Linked DNA regions of Oreochromis niloticus. The protein of the gene in region 2 purifies or fractionates together with the protein of the main gene of each other region. This does not show direct contact. Links are inferred from orthologs where the notes say so. Each region holds a gene or a part of one and is shown on either strand. Other genes may lie near its edges.

Region 1 (8,417 bases), on a different chromosome or scaffold from region 2:
ACAGGATTAATAAGTCAGGCATCTCTTCAAAGAAAGGCTTAAAACTAACCACAATATATCATTCATTATTTCACATAACATTCACATACATTTTTTTTTTTTTTTAAAGTACTCTCCCTGGCTTACGCTCCTTTGAAAAAGGATAAACTGGGAATAAATAAGACAAAACACTGACAGAATAATTTTATATTATTGCAGTACTTTATGGAATTAAAGAATGAAAGGATACTAAAGCTGCGATCAGTGATCTCCAGATGCCAGAGGTTAACGCGCAGGTCATCAGCAGACAAGTAGGTCTCACAATCGCTGTTGACCGAGATGGAGTTGATGTGGTATGTGTGCGCGTTGGCAAACACTCGTCTAGGGCTGGCTTCCACCATCAAGTCCATGGGCCTGAATACTGGTACCTGAAAGCAAAAGTGGGGCTGTTTTTACATTTCTTTAATGGGAGATGCAGTAGATTTTTTGACCTTGATTTTAAATATATGTACACAGGCATGTTTTAAAAAAAAAAAGGAATTTCACACTACAAAAAGAAAAAAAAAAGATTAAAAAGTGTCCAAATTATTTTTCTTACCCTGGTAAAGAGGCACAAAGATGTAGGTCAAAATGTACATAGATTTACCCATTTTTAAGATGGGGACAGTTACTTGCCCTTTAAACAAAGAAATAAAGGCATTGCCTCAGTATAAACGCAAACCTGTTGAACAGAGTCTATATTTGGAAACTGTTCAGCAACCACAAGAAGAAAAAAAAAGGGGGGGGGGGGGGGTCTGTCAAAATTAAAGGTGAATAAAGCAGACATTACATCAACTGCAGCACTGCAGTAATTGCAGGAACAGATTGGTAATTTTATTAGTTCCATCTGTTTACTTGCTCATAAGATAAGTCAACGTCTCAATCAAAAATAGAACAAACAGTTTTGTAATGAGTGGAAGGAAACACGGGAAAGAAACGATTAACATTTATTCCAACTAATTCAGATGTAAATTACTAACCAGACTCAACATATTAAATTTGCTGTTCATTTTCTTGATCTACTCATAAATGAATGGAAAGTAAGCAAAGCATCTCAGTTTTGGCTAACAATGTCAAACCAAAGAAAAGATCTGGACTGTAATAAAGCCAGTTCTACACACCCGTAGTGTAGTGACAGTGTTGGGATCTCTGTATCGCCCATCTTCTTCCTTCAAATTGTAGCCCTCTGGTCTTTTGTCACGCTCACTAATTTTCCACAGCTTTATGGTTTTGTCTGCCAATGAGAAAGAGCAAAGACCATGAGAGTCATTGAGTTATATTTACTCCCATATAAGGCAGTAGATGGCGTAACAAAAGTTCACATTTACTACAGCACAATAATTTACTCAAAAGAAAGTAATTTACAAACCATTTGTTGACAAAAGAAAATGTGCTGCATTCTTCTGAGGCAACCATCGAATCTTGTTGATCTTCTCCTCAATCTCAAGACTTTTCAGGTAGTCAAACTCAGGCTCGTGGCTCTGGAAGGTGCTGTAAACATTGTACTCTCCGCGGCACTGAAGCTTATTCTTACTCTAAATACAAAACAGATCAAACAAAAGTTCAAGCGTTATGAAACCAAGATTCAATGTCTCGGGTCAAGATCACAAGAAACATTGTACTTTTACCTGTACGTCTTTGTGTTATATAAACTGAGTTTGATGACCTACCTGCTCCAGAGTATTATGAATCAAATGTTAAAAATATGTACTGTTTCTATGTGTCACTAAAACATACCTCTTGCTCCTGCTGAAAGATGACAACACGACCTCCCTTGTCCCCAGTTGCAAGTAACTCTCCAGATTGGTTAAATTCAACAGTGGATATGATATCAGCTGTCAATAATAAAAATTGCAAAAATGAGACTAGCATCAAATATAAATAACCATACATTGTTTGTCAGAGTTTCTGATGAAGGCTATTGTCAATCTAATTATTGTAAATCGAATTGCTCTCTAAATGATTCACTGCCTTTCAATGGGAAGTGGTTTACAAAATGCCTCAGCAGCCCACCTGTGAGGGGTGAAAATCATGTCAACCATGGTGAAAACACAACACAGCAATGACGCACACATATTTATACACACACACTCGACGGAGCTGTGATCTGGTGAAACTAAACGTACACTCAACAATCTTAGGACACAAAGGAAAAAAGAACAGAAAAAAAGTTTCCATCCTCAGCTTCAGATTTAGCACTTTTCAAAGACAACCATTCTCACCAAGTCCTACAATACAACAATCAATCCCCACTTACACACTGGCACTACTATAGTGCAGTCGTTAACATCGACAGTGTGCGCCTGATACGACCCGACTCCATGCAACCCCATAAAACAATAGCAGACAGACTGAAGGCGAATCCTTTTTTACAGGAAACTAATAAAAGCGTTACTGGAGTGTTGTGTTTTGAGCCCATGTACTCCTATGTATTGACACAAGGAGAGGCTCTCATTTATACATGTTCCCAGACAAAGCTTACTGTAAACAAATGGGTAGCCCTTTATACATAAATATGGCCACCATGTACTGTAAACACACTTTTGGTGCTTTGAGTTTTCCTTTAGTTCGGAAATAATTAGCTGATAAAGGTTTTCTTTTAACTTGGCCACTCAAACAGATCTGTAATTAGTCAAATGTAAGTGCTGCTTCGTTAACAAATATGAAACGCCTATTAAAGATTCTTGTCTGGCTGAGGTAAAATCTTTTTCAATTCTAACATGCAGTTCTCTCCCAATCATGTAAACATTGTGTAATACCCCTCTAATACCCAGGGTGAACGGAGAAAATAGTGAATGCCATTTAGCACAATTATGCCAAAAATAGAAGACTGTTGTCAGTCTGTGAGAAACCAAATGGACTACAATACCACACCACTGATCCCTTATACCCATTATTACTCTAAAAAAGAAGGCATTACTTTTCATTGCATATTTAGAAATACCACAAATATAAAGTGTGGCAGCAGCACTTTGAAGAAAAGCCTAAAACAAGCGTGCACAGGATGGTGATCCTGGCAGCTCAGGCTAGCAAATGTTCAGTGACTATCACATGGACTTACCTTCAGCGACGTCGTCATCTATTGCTCCTTTGACTTGGGAGAAGCACCACTGCACATCATTGCTCCCACCACCAGGCCCTGCACACAACATGACCCCAAGATTGGACACACCACCATTAAAGAGGGACAACTTTACACGCGTTAGCCTGCAGCTAACTTAGCTAAAAACATCAATATGACAACGAGGCCTTAAGGAAATTCACAGTAACTGTGCGTTGCAACTGCTGCTATAAACTCATAGGCACAGATAACTACTTTACGTGTGTTTGTGGAGAATACCGCTCACTTTAACACTAACACTGACTTACACTGGCATCTTTGAATTATCCTAGCTCGCTAGCTAGCTTGCGCTGGTTAAACATGACATAACAGAGAAACCCATCATCGTTGTCAAACAGGTCAGCACCTGTTAATTAATAACCCCAGCCACTGTGGTAGTCTTTTCCCCTGTGATTTTACCTGCCATGGTGAGCGACTCGTAGAGGGGTATCTAAGCGGGCTCGGGCCCTGGACTGGAACAGTGCTGACCCGGGTCGGCTGGGAGGTTCTAGCGAGGAGCAGTGCAGGAATGAAGCCGGGAGTGCTGCTTGGTACTCTGAAGAACGTAAGCAAAAGTCCTCGGCCCTGCTATGCACCACGGAACTGTTTTACACAAAGTAATTAATAATGCCTACTATTGGCTTGTAGACTTTGCACTCTACTTTGAGAGTTCCCTCGCCTCTGCCTCTTTACAGCACTTTCAAAATGGCGAAACGCGGGCGGCGTTCAGCAGTCAACAGGGAGCGGTGAGAGGGTGCGCCGCGAAATTTTAAACCTACCCCTCAGAGACGTTGGTCATCTTCCTGTCTGCGGAGACCGCGAGGTCACTTGATTTACTGCGCTTTAAATTCATAAAAAGGGTAATAAGCAGGTTTTTAAAATATAAAACCCCGTATAACTGCTAGACCCCGCCCATGTGCATTGTTTCAGTGAAGAAAATCGAACTAACCCCGGACGCATGCTGAATTTAGAAAGTGGAGTCCGAAAGCTCCAAGTTTAAAACAGAAATTCAGATTTCTTAATAAATTTTAGAGGGGTTTTTAATTTGTTTTAATGTCCACAAAAGTTATTTCACATTGGGTGGATTTTATGAGTTACTATCTTGTTTACTGCCTATTAAATGTAGTCATTGCATGACCCACTGATTCCACTGAGTTAAACTACAACTGAATGGGAAATAAACTGAGTAATAATTGCAGTAGATGCATCTGACATCTTTGTTCAGCAGGATGTCTCTGAGAGTTCAGCCTCAGAGCCTTATGCGTCAATGTAAGCGTAACTAGAAAAAACGTTTCTTCCAAGTAAAATTAATCTCACCTACTAGGGCCCTGTGAGGAAGTTAGTTTTACAGTTATTAGCGAAGGAAAAGCTCAGGTGTATGATGTTATCAATGCCTCCCTTCGTTTCCTGGTAACTCTTTGGCACATGAACAGTTGAGAGTGTTTATACCAGAAAAAAGTGACTTGTCATAGCCAGAAAAACAAAGTTAAAACAGATTTTCATTGACAATGACTCAGCTCTATCAACTGGCTATGCAATGAAGGTGATTCAGCGTGTTTACTGCCTTTTATTCAAACCAGTTCACCTAGATGGATGGCAGCCATCTAAATTACCAGTTATACCTGTGCTCTTTTTTTTTCTTTTCTTTTTTTTGAATGACACATCAAAGAATACTTCCTAAAAAGAGGCCTGCTGCAACCTGTATGAGATTCTCTCAACACTATTTTGAATGTATATAGATCTAAGGCAAAGATTTAGGTTTTAGCTCATGGTCGAAATCATGAACCTTAAGCCACAGTGACACCTTAGTACATTTGAGTAATCTAAAAGGAATAAATGCAGTAAGAATACATACCCACTCAGTGTCAAATATTGTCTGATACTATTGTACCAAAGTATCATTCTTCAGTCTTACTGATATCTAAAGTGTCACAGATATAGTGCATGATGCATGTGAATATAAATGTTTTTCAGATTTCCTGGTCACATTTGTTAAATCTCCGTCATATCTGGTAAATGTCTATTAAATAAGATCAAATAAAACCAAACTACCAATCACACAAATGCTACTGAATGCTAATATGCTTGTTTGCTCGCTCCCTTTTGCCAGAATTTTCATGTTCAAACAACACAGGAGCTGACACTGCAGCAAAGCACATCAAAGAAGCCAGTGTGGAAATTTTTCTGTATACACTGTATAGTATAATAAGGCATACTGATTTATACTTCCCCAGCAACCATGTTAGGAACGTATTTCTTCAGTTAAAAAGCGGTCAGATGACTGTCCAACCAAACCAACTGTCACTCAACCACCCAGACCAACAGAGAAGAATCTCCACTCAACAGTCAGTGGGCCAAAGCAAACTTTTTAAATATATATAACCATCTCTATCCAAAATGCATCAAATGTACAAAAAAGCATAGAAGAATTCAGATCATTTTCTTGGATTTCAACATTTTTGCGCTGAGCAGTCCAGTTTCAATTTGCAATTAAGGAACTGTGCAGATTAAAGAGACTCTTCTCTTTATAAGTATTTTTCTATTATATTATCAAATAAATATATCTGTTAGACTCTGACTTCCTATTCAGTGTTATTTTCATTCTGACACTCACATAAACCGCTTGCTTCCTCTCTACTGCAAAAGGTGATGTAAGTATGATAAAGAAACTAACCTTAAAGAAATGGGGAGGGGATTTGTGGTCAGAAATGCGGGGCAAGTTCATTTTTCAGTAACATAAGATGGGATGGACAAAAAAAATCAAGAATCACCAGAGACCCACAGATAGGCAGGACAGGCTAACAAAAGCAAACTAACTGCAGGTTTATAATTTCCACTTAAAGATCTTAAAGAAGCGACTAAACCAACATGATGACATCACTGCTACTACTCATCTTCTCAACGATGACAGGTAAAAAGACTATGACCAACTCCTAATTGATATTATTCACAAATCATTATACTGTAAATAATGTTAAATATGATTAAAATAGGTATTACACTATGTATTTTGTACTTCATATATTTACACAACAGGGACTGTACATATTAACATTGTCGCATTTAAGCTAAATGCAACAGATGCAATCATATAGGACTTCTGGCCGCAGCTAATTTCCACACCGTTTGCTGCTTAGGCTTTTACGACACTGTATATCAATAAAAGTCTATTTTTTTTCTTAAAATTGTACCTCTGCCCCATCTTTGCTGTTACCGAATTCTCACAGATTTTAAAAGCCAAGAGCCATTTTCACTCTTCTAATATTGAATGTTACTACAATGTTACCCATGACTTTTCTTTCTGTTTTAAAGAACATTACATTATGACAGATGATCATGATTATTCACATTACTTTAAAGTTTCACTAATGTGTTTATGGTAGGATTAAATCAAATGCCATGTCGTATTTTCCACCATGACATCAATGACCGTGAAACAGGTCTAAAAAGGCCCTCACTCTCTAAAAACTCATTTTTTACAGTGACACAGGGATTAATAATGCCAGTCAGAAGAGATAAGGACTGACAGCTTATGAGACCTAAGCTATATGGATAAAAATATTAGGCCACCCTCATATTACACCCACAGGAGCTGCTCTGCCAAACCCATGCCATGAAGCTCTCAGTGCACAGTTTTTGTGCAGATGTTAATGCTAGAAGAGGTCTGGAACTCCTCATTTATTGAGTTAATACAGTGTTGGAAACTTTCATTGACTTAGTGGCTCAGCAAACAGTGACTCTGCTTTAAAACTGTATGAGCAATCATACCATTTACAGTTGTTGTGAATATCTAAGAAGGAAAAAGTTTCATTAACTATGAAACTTCATAAATTTACAGTAGCATCCTATTACAGTGCCTTATTTGAATACAGAGACCCATTCTTTTACAAACCTTTGTAGTCTGCATGCCTACGTGCTTGATTTTACACACCTACAACAGTGGGACTTACTTCTGCCCGTATGCAGGGCACCTGCCACTAAAAACAAGAAAACACAAACATTTTAGAAATCTGTTAAAAACTTGTTGTTATTTATTAGCTAACAAACTGAATTCAAGTTTTTATACTGAAATTTGAGCTGGCACAAGCATGACAATTACTACTGAAATTGGTTTTTATTGGCTAATTTTGGATGTGATTTACTTTTTTGTTGTTGCTTTATAGTAAAACATAAAATTTATAAACTCACGTATAACAAGAAAAATTATATTTTAACATTAAAAATATGATTTTGATTACAGAGCTCACAGATTAACCAGAAGCATAAAACATTACTTTGGTAATTACCAATGCTGTAAGTTTAGGGTAGCCGTGTTATAAAACCACCACCACCAATGGGTGGTGGTCTAATAAAGCTTTTTAAGTAAGCACTGTAGTTTAAGTCCATGAACTGTGGACTTGGTGAGACAAGAGGAAGGAGAAATGAAAACATGACTAAACCAATCCATGCAAAAACAAACAAACAAAACAAAACCTTAGAAATCTGGAAGCAGTTTTTTCACATGTACTGCATATTTTGTTAGCAACTGTGAAAAACAACAACAACAACAACAATAATAATAATAATAAACATGATTTAATGGTATATTAATTAATTGTAACATTATATATTGAAGCAGAAGTTCGCTTTTGCAGTAGTGACACTTTGAATCATAACAAAAATACTAACTGGTCACAGCATCATGCCTATATAGTAAAAATAAAAACAGCAATGTTTACAGCATGCTCTGCTAATAAAGTATCTCAAGACTGTTGCATGAAGAACTGTGCACCTAATTGATAAATTAATTTGCTTATTTGTTTTGTTAAATGACCAACATAATTTGAATATTTGTCTTCAGGTTGTGAGTTGATGTCAGATAGAAAGAACTGCACAGGAGGTTGGGTTCACGTCCCCTTCAACAACACTGAAACAAAGGCAAACTGTCAAATGGCTTATGGAAATCATACAAACTGCATTCTCACAGTGATCACCAGGAAACCTATGAATGAGAACAAAAACAAAACGGAAAAACATTGTGATGAACAGAAACTTGGTAAGACATGTTTTTCGTTTGTTTATTAATTGATGAATTCATTTTGGCTTCATTTTGTTAGTTTTTGTTGTGACTTTTTATGGCTTCAATCAAGGTAAAAAAAAATGTTATATGCAGTATTTTCTATGCAACATGGTGGTGCAGTGGTTTGCACTGTTACCTCAACGCAATGGGGTCTTGGGTTTAAATCTGCAAGCTGGGGGCTTGGCTTCTCGCCACATAATCCAGCTTCCTCCCAAATGTCCCAAAGACATTCGTGTTAGG
Region 2 (8,015 bases):
ACAACATAAAATGAAAGAACTGACGAATGCTCTCATAATAATCAATGAGAGCATTCTGTATTGGAAAAGACCCAATCATGTGATCTGCTCATGTTGTTGCACAGACTCGTGCACACAGTTTTAAGTGTTTAAGTATACTCATTGTTTTTCTTTGTTCCCAGTATTGAGAGCATTGATTAGCATAACATTTGTTCAAGTGCTCTGGTGGAACAAGCCAGTCACTGATCAAATTTGGACTGTTAATGAAGCTGTACCAACATGCGACTTTGCCCGTTTGAAACAGAAGAACAACTTGTGGGGAAAGAACTTTGGAAACCTGATTTTGGACAAAGTCCCCAAACCTCTGGTGCCTTTGGGCAGGCGATTCTATAAATAGAGTTTTTATGTCCTGGTGATCATTTAAGCCATTTTCAGTCTCCTCAGTCATTTAGGTAAGGGCCTCAAAGTAACTGCCCAAATAAGTGACCTGAGGCGTTACCAGAGCAACTTGCAGGATTCGTGTTTAACGACTTTGGAAATATGAACTTATCTGCAGAGCTTACCCTCTACAACATCAATGACGCAGAGACCAAGCAGGGATGGTATATGATTGGCAGTGGCAGTGTGAACTGCAATGGCCCCTCCCATGCTGTGTCCAATAAGCATGATTGGAGGTGGGTTGTCTCCATAAAGTGCCTCCACCACTTTGCCAATATCCCTTTGGGGAAGAAAAAAAAAGAAGCAGCAAGAATATAACCTGTCAGCCTGTTTTTCGGTTATGATTGAAACTCTAATCAGGAAGCTAGTAACTACATTTTACATTTTACACCGCAATCAATAATCCAAATGTTAGCCACAGGAAGTCACCACACTCTTCCCACGTTTAATGAGCGGTGAAACCAAAATTTTCTTAATTAAACTCATGCCTGCTGGATCATCACCACCTTCTGTGGCGTCCCATATGTTCCTGTGATGTAAACCCAAGAAGCAGATGTTTAAAAATCATTCCCACAAAAACTGTGTTCTCTTAAAGACTTACTTCGCCATCGTGTCCGCAGAGAGATCCTCAGGATTTTTCACTTTAGTGTCACCTGCAGGCGATGACAGAGATTTAACTCATTTGTTCCATATAAACCGAGGCAAAGAATGCAATAATCCTCAAACCACGTGCAAAGATAAAAACTTGCTGTGTCCTGCAACCTACCATGAGCTCGGAGGTCCATAGCTACCACCCTGCAGTTAATCCTGCTGTATGTGATGGCCTGCAAGAACATAGATCGAAATCATTTCAATTAAATAGATCACAGATGATATGTTGACATTAAAAAAAAAACAAAAAACAAAACTTTATAAATGTTCTTCACAACATTGCTGTTAACTTTAATGTAGACTGCTAACAGATCATAAAGCGTCTGTAATAGTTATGAAGCTCACAGTGAACACCGCCCAGGATAGTGCAGAGTGGCCTCCTCCGTGAAGCAGGAGCAGCACAGGACCATGGGAACCACTGCAGTAAATTCTGAAAATGTTCACAGCGGTCAAAGAAATACTAATTGAAAGAATAATGAAGTAAGCAGATGCTTGTCCAACAATAATGCACATTAATCTTCTGCATATATTCTAGTCATGTAGCACAATGATATGAGGAGTTAAATCTGAAGACTTGGACCCAAAGTGTGTGTCATTCATGCTCAATTTCCTCTTACAAACTGGAACAGCAGTCAAGGATATATCTTTGCCGTTTTCATTTTCCACCACCACGTCTTCCATGGTTTCAAAATACTGACTCCAGGGCAGAGGGGAGAAATCTCTCTTACGCCCAGGTCTGTAATAAAAGAACAAAAGTAAATAAGTAACCGAATCCATATCTGATGTGATTCAACACTGCAACAGGACTGTTAAACTTTGTGGAAGCAATTGAAAGACAAAAATACTCCAGACTAAAAATAACTCTCCCCTTCTTTTCACATCATCAAACATTGCAATAATAAAAAATAGAAAAATAAACAAAAAGAAAAAAAAATTAATAAAAAAAATAACAAAAAACAAAATAGAATTTAAGCATAATCATCATGTTCATCTGGCAAAGGTAAAGGAAAGGTGTGTCAGAGCATTTATTTTACGAATTCATTGTAATTTGTTGCTGATTAAAGTATTACAGAGTTAACAGTTCATTTATATTCAAGCCATTTTATAAGATACACCTCGCCAGTACTGAGCTGGACCCCGCTTTACTTCACAGCTTCCTTAATTGTTCAAGGCATAGATTCAACAAGGTGCTTGAAACATTCCTCAGATTTTGCTCCAAGATGACATGATAGCATCACAGCTGCTGCACATCAATAATGTGAATCTCCCTGTTCCACCCCATCCCAAAGGTGCTCTATTGAAATGAGATCTGGTGACTGTGGAGGCTATCTGGGTACAGTGAACTCACTGTCATGCTCAAAAAGCCAGTTTGAGACGATTTTTTACACGGGGCGTTATCCTGCTGAAAGCAGCAATTGGATCACAATGATCCCTTTAACACTTGTGTTTTTATTTGTTTTACTTCACTCTTCTGCTGGCTTAGCCTTATTTCTCCAGAAAGCACGGAGAGTGCTTTGCTTTGATTTAAAACACGTCCTGGCATGCAGTACTTGTGTGAAAAATAAGAACAACAATAACAACAACTGATGATGATGATGTTAGCCTTCACTAGATACGCTATGCAAATGGAAACAAGAGGTGGCACAAACCCAGCATCTTTAAATGTTGACAATAACCTCTTGGAGAACTAAAATAACTTCAGACACAGATTTCATGCCTTGTCACGAATGCTTCCGCCCTCACAAATCACATTAATTTTCTACTGACACTGTTTTTCAGACTTAAAGGATATCCTTTTAATTTTAAATGCTAACACGCAAAAGCGCCAGGCTAAATCAATCAGTGGTGTACAACACTGATTATCTCATCTCTAGTAGCAGATGCAGCTAACCTAGCCGGGCTAAAGCAATCAGTTAAGCAGTGCAATTCAGTGACAGTGTAAATATACGATTACACTTCCTGGCTTTGGGAATAAAAAAAACACAACCGGCGTGATGGTGCACACAACTAAACGTCACGATAAAAAAAGCTGCTAAGATCCTAGCTAACTCACCCCATTTTCATTTTGGAGCCAGACTGAAAACCACCTGCCATGGGAGGTCTGGAGGCTAACAGGTTCAAATGCAACTGTTTCTCCATGTTGTCAAAAGTGACGCCGGTCTTTGTCAGGAACTCTTTGATGTGACCTTCTCTCGCTTTCGCAGCATATGATTATCTTCGACACCTACACCGATGTTAGCCAGACATTGGTTAAACTGCGTTTGCCTGGCAAGCTAACGGCTAGCGTCCTTCTTCTTCTGCAGCTGAAATGACGGTCTCTTTTTCTCAGATGATTGACGCAGATTATTTCACAGCATCGTCGCCATCTACTGGCTACAAATTCAACTGCAATTCAAAAGCGGCTTACACTTCATAGCTTTCAGCAGTTCGGAGTACCGTGAATGAAAGTCAGACTGCTTCCAATAAAGACTGAGACTGATTATTATGAACATCAAGTGTAAACCCAGTTAAGTATACTAGCGTGATGGCTAGCGCTGTCAGTTTATAGCAAAAAGGATGTGGGTTTAAGTCCATCTGCCCTCTTTGCAGACTGCATTACCTGGCCTCAACGTACCTCAACCTAAAGTTATGCATGTTTGAGAAGAAGTGATTTTAAACTAGCTGTAGGTTTGAGTAGTTGTCTGCCCTGTGACAGACTTGTGCAGGTTGTATCTCCCCCTCTTGCCCCGTGACAGCACGAAAAGCCTTCCCCCGTTGTGATCCCAAACTGGATAAATGGAAGAAAATGGAGTAATGGGTAAAAAAAACATAGATATTTTAATTCCACCCATATTTTTGGTCAGCTAAATTTTTGGTCAACTAAATTCAAGTAATCTTATTTATTTATTTATTTTTTGTAATACTAAAGCTGTTTTTCATTAACAATGGGATTATGTTAACAGAACTTAAACATGCTGTTTTATGCTACCCTAACTTAATACTCTTAGACTATTTTTATGTGATTTTAAATAATAAATAAACAGTGTAGAACTGTTATTCCACTTTAGTTACTTAGTGAGCAGTAATGTAAAGGAGTAATGTAATTAACTGCCTTCTCAAATTCAACAACAAAGTTACAGCTGCTGATTCTCTAACTGGTTACAAATAACATTGACTTGCATTAATTTTTTGTAGCAAGCAATGATTCACTCTTCATAAACATCACTGGGCCTGTATTGTTACACTAACCAGAGGTTAACTTTAGTCATGAAGACACCTATGGTGTCACAGACATAGACAGCATCAAATCTTTTCACAGCTTTGCTATAGTTACATTAAAGGAAAATGAACTGTGAACATAAATGAACCAACAGCTATAAGTATGGTATACATGATCCTCTATTCTGTCTTCCAAGAGCCAAACCTTCAGCATGTTCTCAAATCACAAACACCGAAACACAACTTTGTATACAGCTCTGTATTTAAAAGCAGCACTTGAAAAACTCTGTTGTGTCACAGTCTGCTGCTTTACGTAGGTCGAATGTTCAGGTCAATTCAGTTTGATCTATATAGCACTAAATCGCAACAACAGTTGCCTCAATGCGCTTGTTGTGAGCTGGACCCAAATGTAGATGCGTGAAGGCAGAGTAAGTAAAACAAAAAGCGAGAATTCAGAAAAAAACCCCCCAAAACAACAACACTCCTGTATTTATATATATGCGTGTGTTTTAGGTCAGTAGTATATATGTTTTTTTAGCTTACTATACAATTCTCAAACACAGACTGGCAGCAGTGCCCGTCCAAGAATGTGACCCACTATGTCCCGCTTCCTCATAGTAATTTTAGTGCTACTCAGCCTGTGAACAGAAGTTCAATGTCTTCCAAAGCTCTGTCTGTATGACAGTGGGCGCAGGCAGTTTTAAAGGTGTGGGTGTTTCCAGTGAGAGAAGGCATCAAGTTACATTACTTGACATGTAATTTTTAAAGCCTGACACATATAAGGTGCAAAAGTAAACACACACATTCCAGTAACAAAAACTGTTAACAGGAAATTTAAGTTGTTAAAGTGTGAAACTTTCCAGACACTGAAGTCAAGCGACATAGTGAGAGACATCAGAGCGAATGAATTGCAGTTATGTAAAAAGAACATGTTATGACAGCCGGTTCTCCACAGTTGTAGACTTGTTAATTAGAACGAGAGGACGGGAACAGGTGCTGGTGAGCAAACATAATGAGTCGCATGTAATTTTAGGAGGACTCAGCTGATTATCATCCTAATCAGTCAGCACTGACGCACGTTTTAAGTAGGGCAAAGGTCTCAACACTGAGGAGTATCTGCATAAAGAACCTTTCCAGTTATCTTTTTAAATACTAAGTTGAATTTGTGATATTGTTCAAAAAAGCTCTCTGGAATACAATATTAGGCCATTTTCCAGACTATTCAAGCATTTTTCATCATGTGCTTTACATGAACACTTTTCCTTCCGTATCTTCTCAACAGTGCTTATATTACATTATAATCTCTGTGTTTGTTTTGTAACCCATCAACTCCTTAACAACATGTGTGATCTGATCTTTGCTCACTGATCTAACCTAATATTAGAAGATATCATATAGCCAGTGAGAGCCAAAATAAGCACTACGTTTGAATAAAAATGCAAGCCAAAGCTAAATCCAAACAGTCTGCAAACCCCTGAGTCATCTCTGCTATGTGGAGCCTTTTGCTGTCTTAGTGGAATATCTGTTTTGTGTACGGTGAAAAACTGTAAGTCAGCATAAATGATAAAAGCTGTTGATGAAGTTGGAAAAACATATAAACTTGAGGTAACTACAGATATTAAAAATAAGCTGTTTTAGTGTCCCTTTATTCTTTTCCCATTTAATCATCCAGTGAAGCAGAACCAGGACAATCCAAGTCTGAGTTGATTTTGTGAATGAAGCAAACATGCTGAGCCATGAACCTGTGCCCTACTAACCTTTAAGTGACGCAGCGGCTGACCTTATTTATAGTGTTGTGGAGGATTATTTATAGTGTTTCTCAGCACTGATTTAAAGTTCACAGTATTCAGAGCACAGGGGTGATCGGGTCTGGGGGCTCAGTGTCTTTTTAAGGGGAGGTCACTGCAGACTGGTTGAAGCCAGCCCACTGACTTGTTTACTGGCCCGACTGTGTGCTTAAATGTTTCTCACAGAGTGTTCCCAGGAAACTGTTTTTAGAGAGCAGGTGGTGAAACCACCTCCACCATCTCCTTAACCTTTTCGTGGAGTACAGTATAAATGGATTATTACCTTTCAAATGTCCTGTAATGTCGTTTGACATCACAGGACCCAGTCTGAATATGTTTGCTAAACGTAAATATGTTCTCACTTTACTAATCTCCACCGAATGCCTTGTTTAATATAGAACCTTTATAGCTGTAAATATGAGGAGTGGAAAATATGCAGGTGTAGGGCTTTACTTTGACCCTGTTTACCAAAACTACTTCAGAGTTTCTGAGTAAGTCGTCACACTGAAGATGAATTATGACACTGTTTTATGTGTACAGGGCAATATTGCTATAAAGCAGCAGTTTATGGGAAAGAGGATGTTCACAATAATGTGCAAAAGTCTTGAGCTATGGAAATATAGTGTATAAGTCAAAAACTGAATTTATACAATTCTGATAAGGTTGAAAGTCAGTATTTGGTATGACTGCTTTTATTTTTCAACACAGCCGGGCTTTTCTGCATTTATAATTGCAGCAATTTTGATAAGATTTCAAACACCCCTGGCTGCAATGAAGCCCCAAACTATGACAGAGCATCCACCGAGTTTTACTAATGGCTGTAGATACTCACTGTTGTACTTCCCTCTTGATCTCCTCCCTACACATACTGACAATGATGTGAACCAAACAATTCCAAATTCAGATTCAGATTTTCAGTCCAGTTCTTGTGTAATTTGGATTACCTCAGCCTTTTCTACCTGTTTTGCTTCCTTGAGAATGATTTCTTGTCAGCCATCCTTCCACTGAAACGATTTCTGATGAGGTTTTAGTGAAGAACAGGTGGATGATGAAGGGTCGAGTTCATCATCCTGTTTTTTCATAAAAAAAAAAAAATCATACTATTTCTAATCCGGTTTCTGTATTTAAGGACAACCTTCACACCATGCTGGGACAAGTTTTTTGCAAATAGCTCTTTGGAAATCACCTTGTAGGTGCAAAAACACGATTTTATATCAAACTGTGTTATCTTTGACATATTTTGTGGATTGAACAAAATAAATGAGAAGAAATTAGATATTTTTGTGACACGCTTACCAAAGATCCTAATGATACAATTCAAAACAGGCTCTTTGCTAAGTTGTCTTAGGTGTTAATTGCTTTAGCTGGGTGTGTTTTCTAATTCATTATCAGGTCAGTGTTAAGTGACTTAACGAACAAAAAACATTCTTCTAAAAATGGTTAAAAGACTGGAATGAATATAAGCAAAAAAAGCACCCTGGAGAACTCTGGCTCAGTAGCACCAGGTCTTATCTTAAATAGTTATCTTATCTTGTCTGGCTCCTTGGAAGCAAACAATAAAGAAACAAGGGAGGCTCAAGACTTTTGCACAGTACTGTTACGGTTACAAAATTTAGTAGTGTTGTTTTGGGGACAGAACAACTTCCTGACACATGCTGCAGCAGGTGAATCCTTTGATATTCGGAATATGAGGCTGTGATTTCTGACTTGAGAAAAACTTGGCGACCTGTGACCCAGAATGCAATGGAAAGTCACATGTAAGGAAGCATGCACTCACAGAGAGCCGACACCCCCACCTACAAAGAGTGCACCTCCTCCCCCTGACACTTTCCATTTGGCAGCTGCTCCTCCTGTTGGAAGCAGCTTGTGGGCCTGTTACAAAACAACCCAAATGATTGCATTCAGATGCTCTCTGGACCCACCCACCCTGACCCATGGTATGGATTGGCTACGAAGCATGGC
Region 3 (8,081 bases), on a different chromosome or scaffold from region 2:
TGATTTCTGTGAGCAGGGCTTGTGGAGGTTTGTGCTTCCACTGGGAGTGGTCTACTTAACCGAGTATTTCATCAACCAGGGTTTGGTGAGTCCTCTGGTGCCCTCTAGCAGCACACTCAACTCACTGCACGCTATTAAGTGAAACTTGGCTCTGATTTTGTGTGACGATGTGAGAATATTGAACCAAGAATATTTTTTCCCCTCTGTAAGATGGAACTCCTGTTCTTCCACAATATTTTCCTGACCCATGCAGCTCAGTATCGCTGGTCAGTGATCCATTACAGAGAATATTCAGTATGAATGACTTCATGCAGATTGTTTGGGGTGTGCAGCTCTACTTGTTTCTTGTTTGCATCCTCAGGTATCAGACTCTGTACCAGCTTGGTGTACTGCTCTCTCGATCCTCTCTGCGCTGGCTGAAGATCAGGAAAGTGTGGATTCTCAGTGTTCTGCAGGTGAGAAATGAGAATAAAATACAAATCAGCACCAGAGGGATGTCTGGGTTAAGCTCAGCTCCCTTTTTTGGACAAGGTAGAGGAGCTTAACCTGCAACTTTCTTCTGACTGGCTGCTCATTACACACAATAGATTTGAACATCGGTATTTGTGGCTGCTGTGCTCAAAGTGTGTACACAAATCTGTGTGTATGTAGTGCATATAGAATGTTGTGTACAAATCCATAATCAGTCATGAGGGAGTAGACGAAGCTGCATTAGTGCAGTGGTAGGAGCAGCCAATAACAAAACGGTGTAGCAGCTGTCCTCAAAAAAATCAACAGCACACACAATGATCCTCATCTAGTAATATTTACAAGGAAACGTTCGTACTATTTACACAGTGACCCAGCCCCATTTCCAGGTGAAACAGAGAAAGTGCTGATGATGTTGTATAAGAGAGAAGCCTGCACCTCTAAAGGAAGAAATAAGGAGAAAATCTGACTGTAGAAAAAGAAAGAAGCCAGGAGAGGTGCGGCTTTGCAGAGTGTTTCAACAACTGTTTAGGAAAAAGTGACACCCAGGCTGAAATAATAGGAGAGCTCAATAAATGATTTTTTTTTCCATTACATCATCAAACATTACATAGTTTATGGTTTGTTTTCAGGTGATTGAATAATTTTTGTTGCTTTGTGATGCAGATAACTACAGCACATGCATATGGGGTTGTTAAATGTATACTTTACAAACACTGCTGTTTCTCAGAGCTGCTTCTCTCTCCTCTCCTCAGATGCTGAACGCTGTGTTTCTTCTGTTAGCTGTACGTTACCTGTTCCTGCCCACTGTTTGGTTGGTGTTCACTTTTATCCTCTATGAGGGTCTGCTGGGTGGAGCAGCATATGTCAACACCTTCCATTTCATCAGCAAGGAGGTAAAGGACAGCTTCAGAGGCCCATTCATATAGTTTAGAATCTAGAGTATTCTAGACAGTCTCGATTTTTAGGAACCTGGACAATTGCATATTTTCTGTTCTTCGACCTCTGTGCACAGCTGCATTTCATTTTCAATCTATTCACGGATGCATACACACTCGGCAAATGTCAGCTTGATTATTTTAGGAGATTCAGGAGGTCATTACAGAAGCAGCTGTGCACTGTTGAGCTGTTTTCATCCTACAGTAAGTATGCATCCATCTCAGAGTGTCTTCTCTTTTCTCCTACAGACTGAAGACAGACACAGGGAGTTCTCCATGGCTGCTGCCAGCGTTGGAGACAGCCTGGGCATAACTGTGGCTGGACTCATATCTCTTCCTGTCCACACTTACTTCTGTTCATTATAACCAAGCCCACACACTGACCAGCACGATGAGTAAGCAAAACGTGGGTGCGTTCGATTTTTAAATCGGAACTGGGTTGGAGACAAAAAGCAGACATTACATAAAAATGTCAATATGAAGTCATTGACTCCACATCCTGTACTTGCTGCATTTATAGATACCAGCAAGTGAACTTTATAGAAAGCCCAGAGTCCAAAAAAGGATTTTTTTTACCTTCAGCCAGAGATCAAATAATATCAATAACATCCTACCTACGATCACAGAAGGTAAACCTGAAACACAGATCAACAAAACCGATAGGACAGAAAATATTCATGTGTTGTTTTGATGACCAGTTTCTTTGTGGCTTTCCTTCATGAAAAACCTTCCAGTGGTTCACAGAACAAAAGCTTTCAATGTGAAACAAGATCGGGATATATTTCAATTTGACATAATGAATAAAAGAAATATAAATGCAACACATTTTAAAGTCACAGAACAGGAGATGTAATCAGAGTAATTTTACTTTGTTTTAATTGTTGTAACTAAAGAGTCATCTTAAAGTATTAAGTATCTCTGAGCTGCGACCAGGCAGCCAGTATTGTGTAGGAAATCACTGCACACCAACCTTCAACACTAACATTTACCTTAAAATCTAAACTGTTATTTTACTGACCTTCATTTTAAAATTAATTCCTCAAACTGAGCTCTGGGCTCAGAAACAGTGCTATGAATGACTACTCAGCTAGGATGTGCCATTACTATTTTCAAACTATTTTAAAAGTCAGGGAGCTCAGTCACTGAATGCTGCAATTATATTTTTGGGAGGTGAAATTATAAAACTATTGATTTCAGGGGGCAAGGATAGCTCAGTAGGTAGAGTTGTCGCCCCATGATCGCAAGGTCGGGGGTTTGAATCCACTGACCAGCTACCCTGAGCAAGGTACTGCTCTCCGGGCACTAGATTGGTGGCTGCCCACTGCTTCACTGAGTGAATGGGTTACATGAGAGGAATTTCCCCACGGTGATCAATAAGGTATACATTATTATTATTATTATTTGAAGAACCTGTGAGTAAATATAATGCTGAAGCCTGAGGGCTCTCAGTAAGTGTCTTCTATAATTATTAGTTCTATAGTTAAGTTTCATTCATGTTAATACATAAATAGCAGAGATTACTTTCCTATTTCAGTTGTAGTCAAACGTTTGCAAACACTCATCATGGAAATGAATCTGAAATTTGGGATTTTCATTATTTTTTTGACATAGGTGACTTCAATCTTACTGAAAAATTGTGGACTATGCTTAAAATCCAGGTTGGTACCAGGAAACCAAGAGAAGAATAATGGTCAAATATAACGTCAGAATTATGCCTGATTGAGGTGCAAATTTTTCCAAAATAAATTCAACCATGTGCACCCAATTCTCATTTTTAAAGTCTTTTTTTGCAGATGCATGCTGTAAAATCATTCCTCTCTGGGAAGAGAACAATTCAAAGAAATGATTAAAAGTCCAAAATTACCATCACATTCATGTCCATAATGAGTATATGTAACAAAATGAGCAAAAATGCCTTCTTTTATAGGTTTTAATACCAGGAGAGCATTCAGAGCTTTAAAATGCCACTTGTTTCAGATTTGTACAAAAACAATGTCACACACAGATTTGTTTTTGTGATGTTTATCATGTGCAGCTTGACATCATTTTGCTTAGCTGTGACTTTTTTGATTCTAACGAAAGACTGCTTGTTAAACTGTGGCACAGTTCGTCACTGCAGGTGGAGCACAGAACACCTGGGAATGGCTGAGATGTGAAACAAAGTTGATTTTAATATTTTTGTTGTAAAATAAAGAAAATAGAGGTTGCTCATGCCGTCATGCTGACATGTATTTTGCTAAAATTCTTGGAAGCACTTTTGTTATTTTTCTTGTAACATTGTGGACTGTTGAATTTGTTTTCTTTTCTTGGAATGCAATTTATGTCCTTAAATACTTGATTCATGTGTCCTGTTTTCTTCTGAACACTCAAACGCAGACCGACAGGCACAGTCCTACTGACATTCTAATGACCACATAAAGCTAATGCTAAAGCTTAACTGGAAGAACCTTGTTACAACGTAATATTGTTTTTTAATCTTCAGCTTGCTTCAAATCAAATTTTACAGGAAATCAGAAATGAGGTTCACTGACTTTGCTAGACTGCCAGTTAGCTATAAACATGTGGTTGTCCTTTCTTGCACAGAGAGCAATGACATTTCTAATTGTACTTATTTTTTCTTTGATATAAAGTGTATGTGTAAGAAACTGGAATGTGTTGTGCTTTATTACTTCTAGTGATATAAGATAACATAGGTTGGTGTTTAACTGGGGTGGTTCCTAAACCATTTATTGACCTAATATTTCATTCAAAATCATTTGGGGGAAAAAGTAAGGTTGCTATAGTCAGCAATCTGCAGTATTTTCTCTGCTGTCCACTTTTTGTGCCTAATATATCAGATAAATGGTTGTAGAGTGGAGAATTTATACGGCAGTATCCCAAAGCTATAGGTGACGTTTCTAAGCCAAAATGAATTAAAATGTATAATGTAGGTTACTGTTGCATAACACACGTTTCATGTTAAACTTCTACTTGAACTACATTACATTTCATAGTGGAGCACAGACCATCACACAAAAACTTTAATTCTTTATAATTAAATTAAAAGGGTATATGATACCTTCATTACAAGTCAAATATTTCAGTATTTCAATATTTGTTTGCTTTCAATGATAATGGTTTATAGGTGAGGGTAATCAGAAATCCTGTATTAAAATATTAGAATATTTCTTTTCCAGGGGATCGGACAGCCAAGGCCTGCTTTTGGCCTGCTTTTGACCTCTGCTCAGTCCACACTGCACCAGACCCACATGAACCTGCTTGCTTATTGTGGGGCCATAGGATGGCTCGAAATTAAATACTGTATTTCTGACTTTATATCGTGTCCTTAAACTTGACCAAAATTCTAAGAAAGGGTTTTGAAATACTTTACATACAATGAATTTAGAGTTTATTTTAAAAAATAATCACTTAAAAACAGAAAACAAAAGTAAACTTTTTCATGATATTCTGTATTTGGGATGGACTAGTAAGCGATCTGTAAATTACCACTACAGTGAATGTCGGCTTGAGTAGACTGGGTAGTGCGCTTCCTATACCGGAAGTTACAGCCGACCTGCAAGTGTTCATGAGCACGGCAGGCGTAAACCGGCAAAGACGAGACCGGGGGAAGAAGAGGGGCCAGTGAACAGCGAGTGAGCCGACTATCTATGGACTGAAACATATTAACGTTGGTTCTTTAACATTTCGTTTGCTTGCTGTTTTTGGTTATTCGAGTTGAGTCGTTTTTAAATTGTGTTGTTCGCATTAGCTAGCTTACTGGCGACATTAGCAGTAACCAGCGTTGACGCCGAAAACCAAGTAAGTTAGCCCAGGTCGGCATCGATTAGCCCGCTAACATGCAACATTTCAACTACGCTTAACTCATTGTTTTTTTCCAGCACATAGATTATGTGTAGTTTGTTGGTATCGACTGTCAGACATTTTTGTGAAGCATCTGTTCAATTTCCCAAACAAAATGGTTGGCTAAGTTATCAAAGAATCAGTTGTTCGCTGACGTCGTTAGCTGTGATGTAAGCTAGCGTGCTAATATTAGCTTACTGCTACGCCCCGAGGCCTTACATTCCCTAACGAATAACATCAGTTTTCTGTGGAAGACTACTTTTATGTTAGATGTGTACAAACTAGTGTTATGACACACTCATAGTGGTGTGTTAAATTGGCGTTTAGTTAGGAATTTCTATGTACGATCGGGTCTTATTTATCACACAGCAGACGTTAACTAAACTGGATTATCCGCCTACCAGGTTGTTATTGCGATGTTTAGCTCGGAATTACTTCGGTTGAATAACCTCATTTATGTTTTCTGTCTGCAGTTCGTCACTCCGAGCATCGTCGTAGCAATACCCTGACGTTTAAGAGCTGAAGCCCCCCGGCTGCTTTCGAGGAAGTTATTGTTTTGGCTGTTCGCTCTCGGAGCCACATATTTAAGCGAGCCCAGTGTGTGAGAAGAGGAGTGTGTGCCTGGTGTGTGAGCAGCTCTCCCTATGTGTGTGACAATGGGGGACATCAGTGATCTGGACCGACAGATAGAGCAGCTCAGACGCTGTGAGCTCATCAAGGAAAATGAAGTCAAAGCACTGTGTGCCAAAGCTAGGTAAGAATCGGTGTGCTTGGACCAACAGTACTTTTATTTCATCAATTATACACTCTTGATTCAAGGCAGAAAACTGTTTAGCTGTTGTCTTATATTTGCATACTTAAAGAACGGGAAGGAAAATCTTCAGGATTGCGAATTAAAACATACTTTCAGAGGGGTGAAATTTAGTGGAGCCTAAATATATTTATATGTAATGTTCAAAAGTAATGGGGCAGCCTCTTTGTCTTGACTATATGTAGACCAATGGCTACTTCGGCAAAGGGGTCACTACATGGGCAAGCACCGCATGTTTGATTTGGCAGAGTTTTACAGATGCCAAAAATTGATTAACTAGACTAGCAAGACCTGCATCAGACTCTGAACAGTTACAGCTAAGAATTTTAAAGAAAATATATTTATCTACTAACAATATATAACAGGAATAGTTTACGAGTTGTTAAAACCTAAATCCTCTGGTGACTGTTAAATGTCTGTGCACTGTGCATATGAACATGCTACTGGGTATGTTGGGTAGGCCTTGATCATGCGGTTTCTATACACAAATGCACAGTAAACAACACAATATTTTTTATTTAAAGTTAATATTTTAATCAATCACCATATAAATGTTACGAATCCCACTGTCAAGTGCTTGCTCATAGAGGCCCATTTGATTGTTTTCTCTGGGGATCTGACAGGATCTTTACTGTATCAAGCACTTTAAGGGCAGTGTTGTTGTTATTTGGTGCTATACAAATATAATAGAATTGAATTTTAGGACTCTAGGTAGTTTATAGGCTAAGTTTAATCAAGATTGAAGATCTTGGAGGAGTCCGGGAAAAAAATAGAAACACATATTTGGGCTACGATCATTATAGGATAAGGCAAGACCAATCACAGGCCCATTGTGAACTAGGAAGAACTGGGATAAGTCTACTGGATGCAAACTGCCATACGGGCTCATTAAATGGAGCCTTATCCTGACTGACCTTTGTTAGCCAATCAGCTGCTCCTGGATATTATTAAATAATCAAGTAACTCAGATAAGGATGATGGAGACACAATTTGATCAATCTGATCTTAATTTGAAAAGATTATTGTGGTTGGTGGAGGAGCTTAGTTGATGGGCCACGCCAGAAGCTGTCACTGGGCTTCAGAGGTGATGGCAAAAAATCGATCTGTTTAGGTTGGATATTTTTCAAGTTGCAGTCAAATTTTGTTTGTGATAATGTGACAGACCTGTTGGTCTGGGTTGTTACATCACCCATCAGCTGTGTTTCTGGAGTCACACTAGGAAACAGTCGATGTGGCCACTAGGGGGTGCTTGTCTGTAACTCAAGGATTGTTTTATTTTATGTTCTGCTGCTATTCTTGTGCTGTATTATTGTGCATTATTTGTTTCTTAATAAATACACATATTTTTATTCCTTTAGAGAGATTTTGGTTGAAGAAAGCAATGTCCAGAGAGTAGATTCTCCTGTTACGGTAAGTAACATCTACTCACTGTTGTCTCCGAATTTGCCTGAATGTCAGTTAAATGTGGTAATAATGTTTCTCCTGTTATTTCTTACAGGTTTGTGGAGATATACATGGTCAGTTCTATGACTTGAAAGAACTTTTTAGAGTAAGTTTTTTTTCTTTTTGTTTGTTTTTAAAATCTCTTTTGGTTGTCATTGGGTTATATTTCAATGTTTAAGTATGATACTGGACAGAGATGTTTTTCTGTTGCTGATTTGCAATCCTGCACAGCACTACTAAACCCAGTTGGTTATTAGAAATAAATGCAGCTTTTTAAATTTGATACTGTTGCCTTGAGTTTGAGTGTGTGACCATACCGAATACTGATTCCATAACTGTATTAAATGAATAATTCGTATTCCTAATTCTGAGGAAAATCTGGGTATCGTTCTTTATGTGTAAGGCAACGAGACGCTCAGCTTTCACACTGCGCTCCTAAATTCATCAATAAATATATTTAAGAATATAAATCTAGTGAAAAGGTATTAGTAAAATGTGTGTGTATGGGGGGGGGTCCATTTTTATTTTTTTAGCTAAAATATGCATGAGTCTCATTTCATACTGCTGTTATTTATGGACAT

What was found. The genes of interacting proteins can lie anywhere in the genome.
Region 1: the proteins of ppme1 (region 2) and ppp2r2aa purify together in Homo sapiens (affinity purification with mass spectrometry; 3 studies listed by BioGRID and IntAct, with this or other methods). This does not show direct contact. The link is inferred for Oreochromis niloticus from reciprocal best matches to the Homo sapiens genes PPME1 and PPP2R2A.
Region 3: the proteins of ppme1 (region 2) and serine/threonine-protein phosphatase 4 catalytic subunit B purify together in Homo sapiens (affinity purification with mass spectrometry; 3 studies listed by BioGRID and IntAct, with this or other methods). This does not show direct contact. The link is inferred for Oreochromis niloticus from reciprocal best matches to the Homo sapiens genes PPME1 and PPP4C.

What each region holds. Positions count from the first base shown.
Region 1 is NC_031977.2:12,396,945-12,405,361, forward strand, and holds the start of ppp2r2aa (serine/threonine-protein phosphatase 2A 55 kDa regulatory subunit B alpha isoform), read right to left. Parts: upstream 3,171-8,417; coding exon 3,080-3,170; intron 1,854-3,079; coding exon 1,756-1,853; intron 1,554-1,755; coding exon 1,388-1,553; intron 1,253-1,387; coding exon 1,140-1,252; intron 408-1,139; coding exon 230-407; intron 1-229. Other genes in the region: uncharacterized protein LOC102080115, read left to right, coding at 5,987-6,029, 7,959-8,153. UniProt on the Homo sapiens protein: Substrate-recognition subunit of protein phosphatase 2A (PP2A) that plays a key role in cell cycle by controlling mitosis entry and exit. Involved in chromosome clustering during late mitosis by mediating dephosphorylation of MKI67.
Region 2 is NC_031975.2:10,563,075-10,571,089, forward strand, and holds the start of ppme1 (protein phosphatase methylesterase 1), read right to left. Parts: upstream 3,394-8,015; 5' UTR 3,208-3,393; coding exon 3,122-3,207; intron 1,805-3,121; coding exon 1,711-1,804; intron 1,507-1,710; coding exon 1,414-1,506; intron 1,242-1,413; coding exon 1,184-1,241; intron 1,071-1,183; coding exon 1,019-1,070; intron 698-1,018; coding exon 543-697; intron 1-542. UniProt on the Homo sapiens protein: Demethylates proteins that have been reversibly carboxymethylated. Demethylates PPP2CB (in vitro) and PPP2CA. Binding to PPP2CA displaces the manganese ion and inactivates the enzyme.
Region 3 is NC_031969.2:3,488,278-3,496,358, forward strand, and holds the start of serine/threonine-protein phosphatase 4 catalytic subunit B, read left to right. Parts: upstream 1-4,911; 5' UTR 4,912-5,038; exon of another isoform or gene 5,039-5,073; intron 5,074-5,154; exon of another isoform or gene 5,155-5,204; intron 5,205-5,719; 5' UTR 5,720-5,890; coding exon 5,891-6,000; intron 6,001-7,415; coding exon 7,416-7,467; intron 7,468-7,555; coding exon 7,556-7,606; intron 7,607-8,081. Other genes in the region: battenin, read left to right, coding at 17-85, 211-266, 362-455, 1,224-1,364, 1,656-1,772. UniProt on the Homo sapiens protein: Protein phosphatase that is involved in many processes such as microtubule organization at centrosomes, maturation of spliceosomal snRNPs, apoptosis, DNA repair, tumor necrosis factor (TNF)-alpha signaling, activation of c-Jun N-terminal kinase MAPK8, regulation of histone acetylation, DNA damage checkpoint signaling, NF-kappa-B activation and cell migration.